Linked DNA regions of Sus scrofa. The protein of the gene in region 3 interacts with the protein of the main gene of each other region in a biochemical or structural test. Links are inferred from orthologs where the notes say so. Each region holds a gene or a part of one and is shown on either strand. Other genes may lie near its edges.

Region 1 (4,823 bases), on a different chromosome or scaffold from region 3:
CCAAACACATTCCTGTGGCTTCCCAGCACCGCCCTGGCCCCAGAGTAAAGGGAAAACAGCTGCCTGAGTGCTCCAAGGTTCTGCCTCAACTGCTCAGCATCTATGGCTCTTGCCCTCCTTTCTGGCCACGCTGCCTAAGCATGTTCCAGCCTCAGGCCTTTGACCCTTGCTCTCTCCCCTCCTGAAATTTTCTTTCATTCCATCGCCACTTGGCTCCCCCCTCTCCTTCTCTCAGGTATCTGTTCAAGTCACCTCCTCAGGGCAGCCTTTCTAACCATCCTCTCTCTCTCTTTGCTTGCTTCTCCTTCTTCATGCCCTATTCCTCCCTCTATGTGTTTATGTGTTCCATGAACCTAGAAGCAAAATTTGAATGACCTGTGTGGAGGGGGAACAGCCGGAACAGCCATATCCAGCCTTTGCCCCTGGGGCCGGTGGTGGTGGGGGGTGTTCTAAATCTCCGCCTATGAAGCCTTGAGATTAAGTCCTGGCTTGACCCCTTAGAACCCAGGATGGGGATGCTAATTCCATCTCTGTTCAGCTCAGAAGCTGTCCTAGGGATCACAGGGAATTTAAGTCTGCATTTAAATTCTGCCCACTAGAACTTAAGCTCCAGGAGGGTAGAGGCTCACACGTCTTAGTCATGGTTGCATCTTCAGTGACTAAGCAGGCAGGTGCTGTGTATGTATTTGCTAGAAGCTGATCACCCAGACTGGCACACACATCCTAACTACAGGCCCTGTTAGAGTTCTGCTTCCCCCGATTCATCCAAGTCATTCCTGCAACCCCTGTACTGAGGCGGGTGCCTGGCACGCAGTGGGCACTGTGGAAAGATGGTTGGATGCAAGAATAAAGAGCGATGGGATCTATGTGGTGCTGCACCATTTACTAAGCACTTTCAAGTACATCATCTGTCTCCCTGAAGGAATGAATGAACAAGGCCCAGAGGAGGAGATGGGGGCTGAGCCAGGCTAGGGAGAGCTGACTCTAGGAGCCACCGGGCCAAGTTCACACCACAAATGATCGATGGAGCTCTTGAGAACAGTCTTTGGCAAAACATAACCTGGGCACAAAATGAAGAGTCACTTAATCTCTGATCTATAAAGAAAATTCAGAGGTACGCTCAGTGCCGATAGAGAATAGCCTCTATGCATTAGGTTGTATTTCAGGACTAAGCTGCGCAGTGTTAACTCTTCCTAAAACATCCCCACTCCTGTGACAGATGGCATAGGGACATACAAAGTCAAAAGCTCTGTTCAATGAACAGAGCCCAAAGCATCACTCTGTCCTACCCTCCTCCTGGGGTTTATTAACACACCAAATTTAATTAGGAAGTGTAAACTTTATGAGGCCCAAGAGTTATGAGGCCATAACTTCAAGGTCAAAGGGAATTAAACTTTCCTAGAAGACAGAGGCCTGCAGGAAGTTTACAAATATAATGAGAATATCAGGGTAGGAGAGAGGGATTCTGGGTTCATGTGTCACATCCACCTCCTTAGATGACCTTGCCCAAATTACATCCTCATCTGGAAATGGAGGCCGGCCTTCTCAGAGCCCTAAAGGGCTAGCCTTGCTTTTGTGGTCAAGAATTTAAAACCCAACAAAAAAATTCAACCTCCGAATTGATCTCACTAGGAAGGTTCTGACTCTGGGAAACTGAAGTCTGGGTTGAGGGTGAGCTGCAGTCTACCAGGAGTTGATATCACTTCCTGATAGGTGGGGATGGAAGGGTTACCCCAAAATTTGACCTTGGAGTTAGGGAAGGGGAGGAATCAGAAACATCTGTGCCCAGGGAAGAATACTGTCATTATAAGAGACATTCTGCTTCCTTCCTCTGGCAGTGGTGACAACCCCCTTATCATTATACAGTTCTGATCCTCAACCATCCAGGGTACTGGCCAAGGCAAAGAACACTAGTCCTACGGCTCAGAGAGGCAAAGTGCTTGTTAAAGGACGAACAGCAGCTGGGAAACAGGCATGATGAGTTCTAGTCCAATTCTCTTTACATCTGGCACCTAAGTATCTTGCAAAGTGCAGCTCTTGGAGGCTGGCAAGGATGGAATTAGCAGCTCACTGTGGGGTTCAGGGAGATAACATACACTGGGGTAAAGCAACACCTACTCCCTAGTTTTTTTCTAACCCCTGGGCTTGGTGACCATTCTTCTGCTTCCCCATCCAGAGCAGGGCTGCAGAGCTTAGAGGCCACTCTGCCTGATGGGTGTTACTTCCCAGTCAAACCTTTTCATGCAGGCAATGGCCTTTTTTCTGGTGAGAAGTCAGCTCCCACTTTTTGTGGATGTCAGAACTGAGAAGCAACAGGTCAGTTCTGTTCAACCACAGTGTGGGCTGGCCCTGTGGGCAAGGCTGTTTTGCAAAGTGACAACTGGTGTCCTGGCCCTAGTGATAGGGAAGTTGGGGCTGTCTGTGGCAGTGGCTGATTTTGGTTTCTAAGCTGAAGCTTTTATCTGGCATCTCCTCAGGATGACAGGTCCCAGGGCAGACAGCTGTCACTTGCCATTTCTGTTACCCTCTAGTGGGATGGAAAGCTGGGCAAGGAAAGTCTCTGGACTCCCTCTCATCATTCTTTCCAGAAGAAATTCATCTCTAGGGGAAATAGGATCAGGGAGGGGGCTCAACCCCTGAATATTCCATTATAAAAGAGCAGGAGAGGTCTGGGTTGGAGTCCTGGCTTAGACATGGATCAGCTATGCTTGTCCTGGGGAGTGAGTGCTCACATCTCTCTGGGACGGTTGAGCCTTGAGTTTGGGGGGTCAAACACACCTGGGTACAAATACCATCCTTGCCACCAGTAGACTGTGTGACCTTGGGCAAGTACAGTCTCCCTGAGCCTCAAATGCCTCTTCTGTGAAAGTAACTCATAACAGCACTTGACACAGAGGACCAGGAAGTGTGATCATGCACGTAAAGCACCTGACACACAATAAAAGCTCAATAAAGTTAGATGTCACCTGTCACTGTCCTTTCCCCATGGACAACTCCACATTTCTACGTTTATAAGTCAAAGACCCCAAAGACTGCTTCGAGGGCCGATGCAAGAACAAGATGACAGGGCGCCAAGACTCTGTCCAGGACATACACTCCCTGACAAGTAGGCTGAGGATTGGGGCCTCAGTATTCCCATCTGCAAATTGGGTACCTGACCCTCACCCCCGCCCCATGGCCCAGGAACCCCCAAAGGGCGGTGCAGGCTACTGCTCCTTCCCGCTCCGGCCTTCTCGACCCTCTCAGATCTCGGGTCCATCCCGCTCAGCAGCTCCCTCAGTCCCAGCCCTCAGGGTGAGAGCCCGGCCTGGGCCTTCCGCGCTCCCGGCCCCACTACCTATGGTGGAGATGAAAGTGGAGTTGAAGGCGTCCTCGGAGAAGCGGAACAGGACACAGGTCTTCCCCACCCCCGAGTCCCCGATCAGCAGCAGCTTGAACAGGTAATCGTAGGTCTTCGCCATATTACACTCTCTCCCCGACGGGAAGTGCGGCCAGCGCCTCGCCACTGGCCCCTGGCCCAGTCCATCAGCGCCGATCCCGCCCCCCATTGGCTCCTGGCCCGCCGCGCGTCACCGCGGCCGACGCCCGCCCCCGCGCCCCGCCCGTCTCAGGAAGACGTGGGGAAGGGGCGAGCAGGGCGCAGAGCCGGAAGCGGCCTGAGGGCGCCGCTCATTGGCCGGCGCTCAGGACAGGGCGGACTGCGATTGGCCAGTGGTGAGGAGTCGAGGGGCTTCAAATGGGGACAAGGCTGGGGCATGGCATCTCTGTGTCCCCGCCTTCTTCCTCTGACTCTAGGGCGGCCACGCCCCCCGATGGGAGGGGGAGGGCGGGCAGCTGGGCCAACGGCTCCGCGCGCCCTCAAGCTGGGGCGGGGTCTGGGGAGCGTGCGCAAGCGCGCCGGGAAGGCCGTAGTGTGCCAGCAGAGGGCGCACGCGGGTGGTGGGGGTGTTCTCTGGCTCTTGCTGTTCCAGGCCGGAGCAAGTTCAATTAGCGTCGGGTCCAGCGCGGGAATGTGGCGTGGCGGTGGTGGTGCGGTCTGCAGGCTTCCGTGTCAGACCGGGCGGAGCCGAAGAGATAGGAGAGCAGAAGTACCGTCATAGTCGAAACGAGGCCCCCTCGAGACTTGCTCCGGGGCCTTGACGCTGGCCAGCGGATCTTCCTAGAGACACCCAGGCCTCAGCCACAAGCTGCGCCCCGAGGTCCGCAGGACTCCTCAGGATGCTCCCTTGGATCTATTTAGAGGTTGCCCAGGACTTGTCCCAGAGCCTCTCCCGCCGCGACCCAGTCAGCCGTCTGAGTTGCACCCTGGAGCCTTGGAACCCGCCGAGAGAGTTCGGATAGTGAGAATTAGAGGGAATACTAAAGAGCTTTTGGTTCTGTGCCTGCCAGTGTTGTCAGCACTTATAAAAAAATTTATAAAATATTTTGTCCACACCCCAACCCACCGAGGTAGGTATTATTGTGTGTGTTCACGCTTCCCCCCACCAAGTTTTACGGTGAGAAAACAAGACTGAGAGGTTAAATGACTTTCCCAGGCTCTTAACCAGATAAATTGGTTTTTGAACTCAAACCGAACAGCTTCAGAGGCTAAGGTCTTGATCAGATAGTTTTCTGCGTGGTAGGGATGAGCCACATCACTTGGGTGGACTCACCGCCATGTGTCACTCTGGGCTATCAGGCCTGGAGGCTTCCCAAGGATCTTGACAAAAGATGACTGCTGCCTCTCCTCACTGTCCCACTTCACATTCTTTGGCTAATCTGGCTCTGGTTAGGAAAAGCTTCAACCAACCAGAGGCAATGACCACCTGGCTGCATTCAGCCTC
Region 2 (5,116 bases), on a different chromosome or scaffold from region 3:
CTACTAGCTTTGGTTACTATTAGATTCAACCATCATTCATTCTGAGTACAGCTCCAAGCTTGGCACTATCCTAGGCACCAGGGATACAATGAACAAAAAAATAATAGTTTTTAAATCACATGGGATTTGCATTCTGCTGTGCGAAGTAGGCAAAAACACACACACACACAAAAAAAAAAAACACAAAAAAATAAGAATTATAAATGTGGTAAATGCTATTAAGAAGACAAAGCTTTGCCACAGATTGGTCTTGAAAGCTGAATTGTGGAATTCCAAAACCTAAAAATAAAAAATTCATGAAGAGTTACATCTAGATGACATGGATTCTACAGACCTTTGCTAATGCATAAGAACACTACAGACACTGCCTGTGAAAAGAGATCAATCTTTCATTGTCGAAGCTACTGGATGACATTACTTAGCAATATAGCAGCCTCAAAGATAATTAACCTCACAGTTCCACCGAGTTAAAAAGCATGCAAACACAATTTTAAAAAAACTTAGAGGAGCTTAAGGAGAAAGACAACCATAAAGTAATGTGGTATCCTGAACTGAATGTTGGAACAGAAACAGATAAAAATGAAGAAAATCTGAATAAATTAGAGACTTTACTTAATAATGCATCAATATTGGTCCATTAATTGTAACAAATGTGCCATACTAATGAAAGATGTTAATAATAAGGGAAATTGGGTGGGACTCTATGTGAACTCTCTGCATTATCTTAATTTTTATGTAAATCTAAAACTGTTCTAACAAAATTGAGTTTACTTTTAAAAAAATCTAAGATGGCTTCAGGAATTGGCAGGAAGGGGATTTAGTAAAGACTTAAAGAAGTTAAGAAATGAGAAGCTATAAAACTCTGCAATGAGAATTAGAAGTAAATACCCAAGAAATTCAAAGGAAACCTGCAGATACTTAAGTTATGACTATTCATACTAAAATTTTCCTAGGATGGAGATTTTTCATGCAAACTAAATATCTCTGCATCACAACATCAGGCAGGCAAAAACATCCCTAGAGTGCACAATAAGCACTTATCCTATCAATAATGACCAATAGCTATATTTTATGAATGGCACTGCCCTAAAATTGTTATAATACCTGGACAAGGATCAACCTCACAGGTCTCAAGTTACTTAAAGAAACAAATTCAGAAAAAATAAACAAAGAGGAAACTTGGTAAGACAACAAGGAGAAAAAAATTATGTATGAAAGGAGAAAAATGATTTCTCAGGTCTAATTGGAAGCAATTTTGCAACTATTATTAACCTACTTTAATGTCACACAAATTAGTGTAAATAGTTCAAAGTAGTAACAAAAGCCTTGAATTAACATCAGTTATCTTCTTCCCAATCAAAAGAAATAAATGTCTTCTATAGCCTAACCTAAAACACCTAACAGATAACAATGTCTAATGACTTCGTAAGAACTAATCTCTCACTGTCTCAATTTTAAAGACAGCCAGGAAAAGTGAGAGAAAAACAATGAAGGGTGATCACCTCTAAACTGCAGAGTATGAAGTGTGTATAACACAGCATAAAATTGGAATTACCACAAGAAGTAATTTTAGAGACAGCAGCCATCACAAAATAAGGACCTTTATCTAACACAAAGTAAGGACCTTTATCTAACACAAAGTACAATGACGGCAGAAGCATGGTCAGGTAAACAAATGATTTTACTCATCAGATACAGTGGAATATTAACCATAAAAGAAGCATTTCGCCAAAATGGTATCATGTATTTATCTAACTTAGATAACCAGATGAAAAACCCATCTCTTCTCTCTCTCTTACTCCCTGACCCCAAAGGAAATCCTACAAAACAAAGATGTTCGTTATCCTAAAGCCTTCTCTCACAGGAATCCTCAATCTATCATTGGAAAATACTCAAAAAGAAATGGAATAATTAGCATTTCCCCAGTAATTCCTGTTTGCTCCACTGTGAGGAGAATCAGACCCCGCTTCGTGTTAAAACAGAAAAAGGAGAGGTGAGATGTGAAAAATTCCAAGTAAAACGATCATGACATAGCACCTGGCAGAGACTGGAAAAGCATCCACGCGGCCAAAAGGATCGTCAAGGATGAAAGTCAGGAGAAGAAAACGAGGTTTTCCAACAAGCCGCAGCCTAGCCCATCGGGTAAAAATCGCCACTGCCGCCGCCCCTCCCTCACTCCCCCACCACTCCATCCTCAAGTCGCCTCCAAGGCCGACGTGGACCCTCTGGAACCCAGGCCAACCCCCCACCCAGGTGAAAACAATCCAAGAATTTTCTAGGACTCCCCACTTTCCACCTTCCAGAAGATCTGCACTTCTCAGGGCCAAGCCTCTGGGGAAAACAACGCCCAGATCCCCCCTCCCGGCGCGAGGTTCCAAAGAGCCGGGTCCCGCCGGTGGGCCTCGCAGGGCTGACCGACCGGGATCAGAGCGAGGAACAAGGGTGGGGCTCAAGGAAGGGAGCGGGAGCTGGCGAGACGACGGAGACCGGAGGAAGAAAGGGATGGACAGGAGGCTGGGCGGGGTGAGGACTGGGGAGGGCACGTCGACAGGGGAGGGCCGGGCTGCGGGGAGAGGAGCCGGCGGAGTCGGGGCCAGAAGGGGCAAAATCCGCCCGACGGATCGCGGCGAGGAAGCACGGGGGGCGACGAGGGGGCGGCCGACGCGGGGCCGGGGCAGGGGGCGGAGGGCGAACGCGAGGGCCGCAGCAGCCTCCGCGGCCGAAGGGCCGCACTGGGGGCGGTGCGGGGAAGCCGCGGCCAGCTGCCAGGAGTGGGGGAGCCGCGCACTCACCGCTCTGCTCCCCCAGGAACACCAGCTTGAATTTCCTCAGCGGATTCCCGAAGTCTCCGCCCGCGGACATGATGGAGCCGGAGGAGCTGCGCCGCCTCAGCCCAAAGACCTCCCGGACCGACGCGGCTCCAAGCAGTGGACGGAGAGGCTAGAGAATGGGCGGGCGCCCAGCTCTCTCGGCCGCTGCAGGGCCCGGAGCGGAGCAAGACCGGAGGGCAGGGCCCCTCGACACAGACAGGCAGCCGTCGCCGCCGCCTCCCCTCAGAGCCGCCTAGCACCGAGCGAGGCCCGAGGCTGGGAAGGGAACGAAGGCGGTGTCGGAAGCAGCCAGGGGAGTGCTCAGGGGTCCGAAGGCCAGAGCGGCTCCCTTCTCAGCACCCGGCTCGGAGGCTGGGGTGAGGGCGGAGGAGCCGGAGCCGCAGACGCGCCTGGGACCTCTCACACGCAGCGCTTCAGCGCCTCAGCTGCCGCCGCCGCAGCCCAACCTGCTGAGTGCGCGAGCCTGTGGCGCGGCGCGGGGCGAGCCCGGGCACGAGCCTGCCGCCCCGCCAGCCCCAGCGTGCGTGCGTGCGTGCGTGCGCGTGCGCGCCACAGACGGCGTCTTCCTGGTTTAGCCTGCTTTCCCGGCTCCGCGGCAGCGGAGACCGGGGGTGGTTAGGTGTACGCTCGCGTCGGGAGAAGCGGGGAGGTGGGGTGGAGCCTGGAGGAACCCAAAGGGTGGAGTAAGGAGCGCTTTCGTCACTTATACGATGAGCCAATCGGAAGAGGTCAAGGGCGGGCAAGGATGGGAATGAGGTGGCGGCGCGAGAGCGCGCTCGCTGCCCTCGAGCGGTGGAAAGTGTCTCACAGTGGCGGCCATGTGTAGTGTGGCGCGTCCGAGCCTGAGGGGAGGAGAACAGAGAGAAGCGGGGTGGAGGCGGGGCCGGCGTGGAGGTGGAATTGACCCCTACAAGAGCGGATGAAGTCAGAGAGTACTAAGGTGTTTAGAAGGTTCCTAGTTCTGAGCCTTTAGCCCTGCCTCAGATTCCTGCGAGCCCCACTTCACCTATGCCCCCACCTTCTCCAACCTCTTCTTATAATTCCTGCCATGATACCCTCCTAGGTACATTCTCCACTCCTGCTCCCAGGAGTTTCATAACTACCAGAAGCAGGGCCTCCACGTTTTTACAGATGAGGAAACTGAAGCTCGTAGGAAGGAAATGACTTACAAAACCCACAGAACAGTAAAATTGAAGCCAGGTTTTGTCTTTTTCCCCCATTGAACTTCTGCAACCTGCTAGTTGATAAGACCATCCTTGGCCTGATGTGGCTTGGCCTTCTGTTAGCAACCTCTCTTCCTCAGATGGGCCAGCCCAGGTGAGCCCACCTTCTACTGTGATCGAAAAGGATTTAGATATCATGTAAACATAGGGTAAAACTGAGGCTCAGGTAGGAAAACAAGTTTGCAAAAAGGTCACACAACAAATTCGTGGTAGAGCATGCCCCTGATGAAGTGGGCTTTTTTTTTTTTTAACAGCCACACCTGTGGCGTATGGAAGTTCCTGGGCTAGGGGTCGAATTGGAGCTGTAAATTCAGGCCCATGCCACAGCTTCAGCCACACCAGATCCTAGTTGCTTCTGAGATCTACCCTGGAGGTTTCCACTTTGTAGGATCCGTAACCCATTGAGCAAGGCCAGAGATCAAACCCGAATCCTCACAGAGGCAAGGCAGGGTACTTAACCCACTAAGTCACAGCAGGAATTCCTGAAGTAGATATTGTATTTATTTATTGGGGTTTTTTTTGTTTTTTGTTTTTGTTTTTGTTTTTTTTGGCTTTTTAGCGCCATACCCGTGGCATGTGGAGGTTACCAGGCTAAGGATCAAATCAAGAGCTACAGCAGCTGGCCTGCGCCACAGCCACAGCAACACGGGATCCAAGTTGAGTCTGCAGCCTACACCACAGCTCATGCCAACGTCAGATACTTACCCCACTGAGTGAGGCCAGGGATTGAACCCAAGTCCTCATGGGTACTAGTCAGGTTTGTTACTGTTGAGCCACAGTGAGAACTCCCTCCTGAAGTGGACATTTTAAAGATCACCCAGTCCTCCTAAAGGATTCAAATCCCTTTTGAATCTGCTATTGGTGGAACTACCTTAAATTACACGTCTACAATATGTGTATTTTTCTGTGGACAGAATCCATACTTTTCATCAGATTTTTCAACCCAGTTCATGACCCCAAGAATGAAGGTTAATGTCACACTCAAGAGGAGCCCACAAAGACATGACAGTTAAGTGTAATATGGATATAACTATCATGATAATTAAACTTTTAAGTTTTAAC
Region 3 (4,842 bases):
CACATTGCGGTGGCATAGGCTGGCGGCTGCAGCTCTGATTGGATCCCTAGCCTTGGAACTTCCATACGCCGTGGGTGTGGCCCTAAAGAGAGACAAAGACAAAAAAAATAAATAAAATAAAATAAAATAAAATAAATGGTATAGCAAAAAACAAGTGCATGTCTGTGTATGTGGGTGTAAGGCATGTGGGTGTCCACTGCACTGGTCTTTCGATTCTTCTACACATTTGCCATTTTCATAATAAAAGGAAAAAGAAAGCTGGCAAATGGTGTTTGGGATGGAGGGATGTGGGTAGGAAAAAGAAAACAATTTCTTTTTAGAACATATTCTAAAAGGTAAATAATACATTTAAAAGATAGGAATATCACGGTAGAAGAAAAATAAGTATCACGGAAAATAACAATGTCAGGATATCAATTTCTGAAGGAAACGGCTCTCTCAACCAAGGGTAATACACTCACTCACCAGGGCTCTAGGGAAACAAGCGTAATTCCAAGAAAGAATGCTGGGACTGAACTCAAGGGTTTTAATCGGCCGTCTGAGTCATCACTGAAACAATTCCATGGCAACAGAACAGATCCCGCTCTGACCAGCCAGCAGCCTGCTGGCGGGTCCAGCCCTCCCCGCTAGATGATACAATCACTGCTCTGGCTAGGCTGAAAAAAATCAATGTGAATACTAACGGGAATGATAACATATGGCTGTCAGGCCATCTAATTTCCTTTGGTAAAAGATCAAGAATACACTTTCATAGCCCAAAGAGGTCTACACACAACTCCAACAATATTTTCACTTAAAAGAAAGGTTCTTAACAGGATGAATTTGTTACTAAGGCAGTTTATGTTTCTGAAGATAATAGGCACTTCCTCCATAAGGACATCACGAGGATAGCTTGGCATTGGGGAAGGGAGGTCCCCCTCCTTTCCTTTCTTAAATGAGTCACACTGAACTTGTATCAAACTTCGGGGCACCATACTGTACCTGGGATGCTGATAAAATGCAGATCCCTAGGCGTCACACCCTAAGGCATTGATTTCGTGGCCAGGTGAGTGAGGGGAGGGGCCTGTACCTGCGTAAGGACCTCGCGGGGGGCGAGGTGGGGGGTGGATTCTGAAACAGGTTCTCTGAGGTTCACATGTATGATCTGGGCCCCAACAAGCAGCTGAGTTTGTCTTGGATTATATATGATGATATAGTGAGGAGCTCTGGACTGGAGTCAGAAAATCTGGGCGACAGATCTGTCGCTAACTTATTCCACTCCGGGCAAGTTATTGTTTCTATGCCTCAGTTTTCTCACATGTTTAACGAGGATAATACCATCCCGCCCCACTTACTGGACCTCACATACATGCTAATTTATACAAAAATGACTTGAAAGGAGGAGGCCTGTAACAAGTAAGCATTCTATCTTTGAAAAGGGACGCTTTAATCTAATTCAGTGAACTTCGCATGATCTATTACATTCCTGACAGGAACTAATTACAGATTAGCTTCTCCTCTTTCCTGTTAGGCTTAATCCAATGAAAGGCGTGCTGGAGTAAAGGGACATTCTTACTTATCACTTGCCATCCGCACCCCCCCACCCACCGCACCGCCAGACCCGTCCAATGAGAAAGCACAGAGAAAAGGAGAACATGACTTAAGTACTGTGAAAGCTCTACTTAAAGGAGATTCATGTCTTAGGATGCCTCTTACCAAGTCTATGAGTTTGGTAACAGGAACTTCTCGGATTGGTCTTTTCATTCGGCACAAAGCCTCTAAGGATGTACCAAAACAGCTTGGGAGGTAATTTCCACTGATGGTCAAGAAGTAATCTTTGCCTCGGTCCAAGTGAAGGACAAGAATATCTTCAATCTTATCTTCCCCTGAGTTCAGGATGGTCACAGAGTCTTTGCTGACATACACATCAAGGGAAATGTCCACAGTCTCATCTGCAATGTAAACATGATGTGTGGTAACAGAAACTTTCAGTGGAAAAGCAGGGCATGAGAACCAATAGAAGAAGTGTCTTCTAAAAAAATCAAGTGATGAAGGAGCAAGGGGACACGTGAAAGAGGGAGCCCCAATATAATGACAGTGAAGGTAAGAGACGTGTGGTTAGAATACAAGAAGTTAAACAAAGGGAGGGGGTGGGAGTCACGAGGAGATGGTACATCGCAAGCAGAGACGATGGTAAAGGGGAAACTCACTTGGCTCCAAGTAGCCCTCAAAAGGTTCAGCCCGAAGCCATGGCTTGCAGTACTGGGTGTCATTAAGCTTAGGGATGAAAGAAAAATGGCAGGGAACCTGTCCATTGTTGCTGATCTGGAACTTCTCCTTTTGTAGTTGCCGAAACTTCACATTCTCAAACACAAACTGGGGAATAACAGACAGACACAAACATGCATCACTAGTAGGGGAAGAACGTCAGTTGGATTATTCCATAGAGAATATGAATAAAGAATAGGGTAATTAACCAGGTGTGCAACTGCCAGACACAGTCACCAAATGAGCCAGCTGTCCACCATCCTGCTCTTGTATTATTATACTCACGACACAGAGGGGCAGCTAGGCAGCTCTTGCTACCTCTCTAGGCTACTCTGATTGGTCCTGGGATCCGAAGAGGGTAACCCGACTTTGGGTCAGGGCATTCATCCCGTGACCAAGTCTGGTCCCTGAGATATGAATTAGCCAGCGACTCCGAAATATTAGATAAGAGTGGCTACCACCTGAGGGCTCACTTCGTGCCAGGCGCTGTTTTAAGGGCCCTGCACATATTAACTTGTGTAATCCTCACAACCGCCCCTTTATCCAGAAAAGAAACTGTGGCTCTGAGAGTGTAAGACACTCGCCGAGGGTCACACCTCTACCAGATGGCAGTGCTGGGGCTGGAATGGAGGCAGTATGCCCTCAGGTCACACAGCCTTCACAACTTTCCTGTGCTGCCTGTTCCTAGTAAGAAACATAATTTCCCTTGTGCTAACCACGATGGGCAGCAGATGGGTGGCCATGTATGTTTGCTCACCTCCCTCCGGCTGAGTTCTAATGAAGGAAGGAAGTCATTTTCCATTCTGTCCATGATGCGTACAGAATCTTCAAACACTTTCCGGTATCTCCGTTTATCCACAACCTTCACCTGAAAGAAAAAGAACCCTCTTTTCAGTCTTACATGCTCCTAGCTCATCTTCCTTTGAGATTACCTAACAGTTTAAAACTGGTCATTACAGCAATCATTTCAAATCAACTGTGGTACAAACAATCTCCTCAATTACTTTCTGAAATCCTGCTTCACCCACAACTTTTACCTGAAAAAACAAACAGGTCCTTAGTTTAGTCTTATGTGCTCTCAACTCATATATCTCTAAGAATCTAATCGTCTTTAAAAAGTCACTAAAACAAACATAAATTAAAACTAAGGAGTTCTTGTTGTGGCGCAGTGGTTAAGGATCCAGCGTTGCTGTGAGCTGTGGTAAAGGTTGCAGACGCAGCTTGGATCCTGCGTTGCTGTGGCTCTGGCATAGGCCGGTGGCTCCAGCTCCAATACAACCCCTAGCCTGGGAACTTCCATATGCCTCTGGAGCGGCCCAAGAAATAGCAAAAAGACAAAAAACAAAAACAAAAACAAAAAACCAAGCATTAAAGGATCACAAACTTTAAGTAAAGGTAAGGTTAAATGATTAACTTCTTAGAAAAATTAAACCTCTGTGCAAAGAAGCTTGGCAATAATAACTATTTGGGAAGAATATTTTCTTGCTCCATTGTTATCTGGAGGTGGAGAAAATGTGACGGTTGTGCTAAAAATTACTTCCTGCTCCGTACATATTGACAGTGACAAAACATACCTATTACTATTTCTGACAATGACCATAAAGTGCTAAAACAGCAGAAAAATGACAACAGCATTTAAGTCTATTAGCTGTTATGCACAATGCTAAGAATCACAATATCAATGCTCAGATTACATGAAAGGTGTGTTAGTAAATAGACCCTATGGCCATTTTAGAAAATGGCTGATAAAAAATGTCCCAGATTAGACTAAAAGGATGACAACAGACAAACAAATCATCTTGACTAATCAAAAACACCCTCCCATCTGACACAGCACTTTCAGCTTCCTGATACAGCTATGTTTTTTTAACTATTAAAACTTTACACAGGAGTTCCCCTTGTGGCTCAGTGGGTTAAGAACCCAACTAGTATCCATGAGGATGTGGGTTTGATCCCTGGCCTCGATCAGTGGGTTAAGGATCCAGCATTGCTGCAAGCTGCGGCATAGGTCACAGATGCGGCTCAGATCCGCTGTGGCTGTGGCTATGGCATAGGCCAGCAGCTGCAGCTCCTATTCGACCCCTAGCCTGGGAACTTCCATGTGCCCCAGGTGCAGCCATAAAAAAACAAACAAACTTTATACAAACGGATGCACCAAATGAACATAATTAATATAGCATTTTTACTTATTTAGATTCCAGTTTCATTTCTTAGAATAGAAAACTTCACCAATTTAATTAAAAAAAGACTGATGTATGCAATAGAGGCTGTAAAGCAAATATGGAAAATAACAATATTTTTGAGCCAAATATCTCAAAGACTGGGGAGCTTTTTACAAATCCGAACCATAACACTTAGAAAACTGAAACAAAAGCAATCACTAGCGTCACCAGAGTCTCTAGTATAGTGTTAGGTTAAGAAGAATTTTATACTTTTTAAATAATTTTACAACATTTTACAACTTTTTTTTTTTGGTCTTTTTAGGGCCGCACCCACGGCATATGGAGGTTCCCAGGGTAAAGGGTCTAATTGGAGCTGTTACTACTGGCCTACGCCAGAGCCACAGCAACACCAGATCCGAGCTGCATCTGCGAC

Evidence for each region. The genes of interacting proteins can lie anywhere in the genome.
Region 1: the proteins of OCRL (region 3) and RAB8A form a complex in vitro, tested with the Homo sapiens proteins (2 studies listed by BioGRID and IntAct, with this or other methods). The link is inferred for Sus scrofa from reciprocal best matches to the Homo sapiens genes OCRL and RAB8A.
Region 2: the proteins of OCRL (region 3) and RAB6A form a complex in vitro, tested with the Homo sapiens proteins (2 studies listed by BioGRID and IntAct, with this or other methods). The link is inferred for Sus scrofa from reciprocal best matches to the Homo sapiens genes OCRL and RAB6A.

What each region holds. Positions count from the first base shown.
Region 1 is NC_010444.4:61,446,866-61,451,688, forward strand, and holds the start of RAB8A (ras-related protein Rab-8A), read right to left. Parts: upstream 3,487-4,823; 5' UTR 3,462-3,486; coding exon 3,338-3,461; intron 1-3,337. UniProt on the Homo sapiens protein: The small GTPases Rab are key regulators of intracellular membrane trafficking, from the formation of transport vesicles to their fusion with membranes.
Region 2 is NC_010451.4:8,195,727-8,200,842, forward strand, and holds the start of RAB6A (ras-related protein Rab-6A), read right to left. Parts: upstream 3,487-5,116; 5' UTR 2,863-3,486; coding exon 2,793-2,862; intron 2,497-2,792; exon of another isoform or gene 2,060-2,496; coding exon of another isoform or gene 2,038-2,059; intron 1-2,037. UniProt on the Homo sapiens protein: The small GTPases Rab are key regulators of intracellular membrane trafficking, from the formation of transport vesicles to their fusion with membranes.
Region 3 is NC_010461.5:106,169,342-106,174,183, reverse strand, and holds part of OCRL (inositol polyphosphate 5-phosphatase OCRL-1), read right to left. Parts: intron 3,116-4,842; coding exon 3,005-3,115; intron 2,356-3,004; coding exon 2,190-2,355; intron 1,932-2,189; coding exon 1,696-1,931; intron 1-1,695. UniProt on the Homo sapiens protein: Catalyzes the hydrolysis of the 5-position phosphate of phosphatidylinositol 4,5-bisphosphate (PtdIns(4,5)P2) and phosphatidylinositol-3,4,5-bisphosphate (PtdIns(3,4,5)P3), with the greatest catalytic activity towards PtdIns(4,5)P2.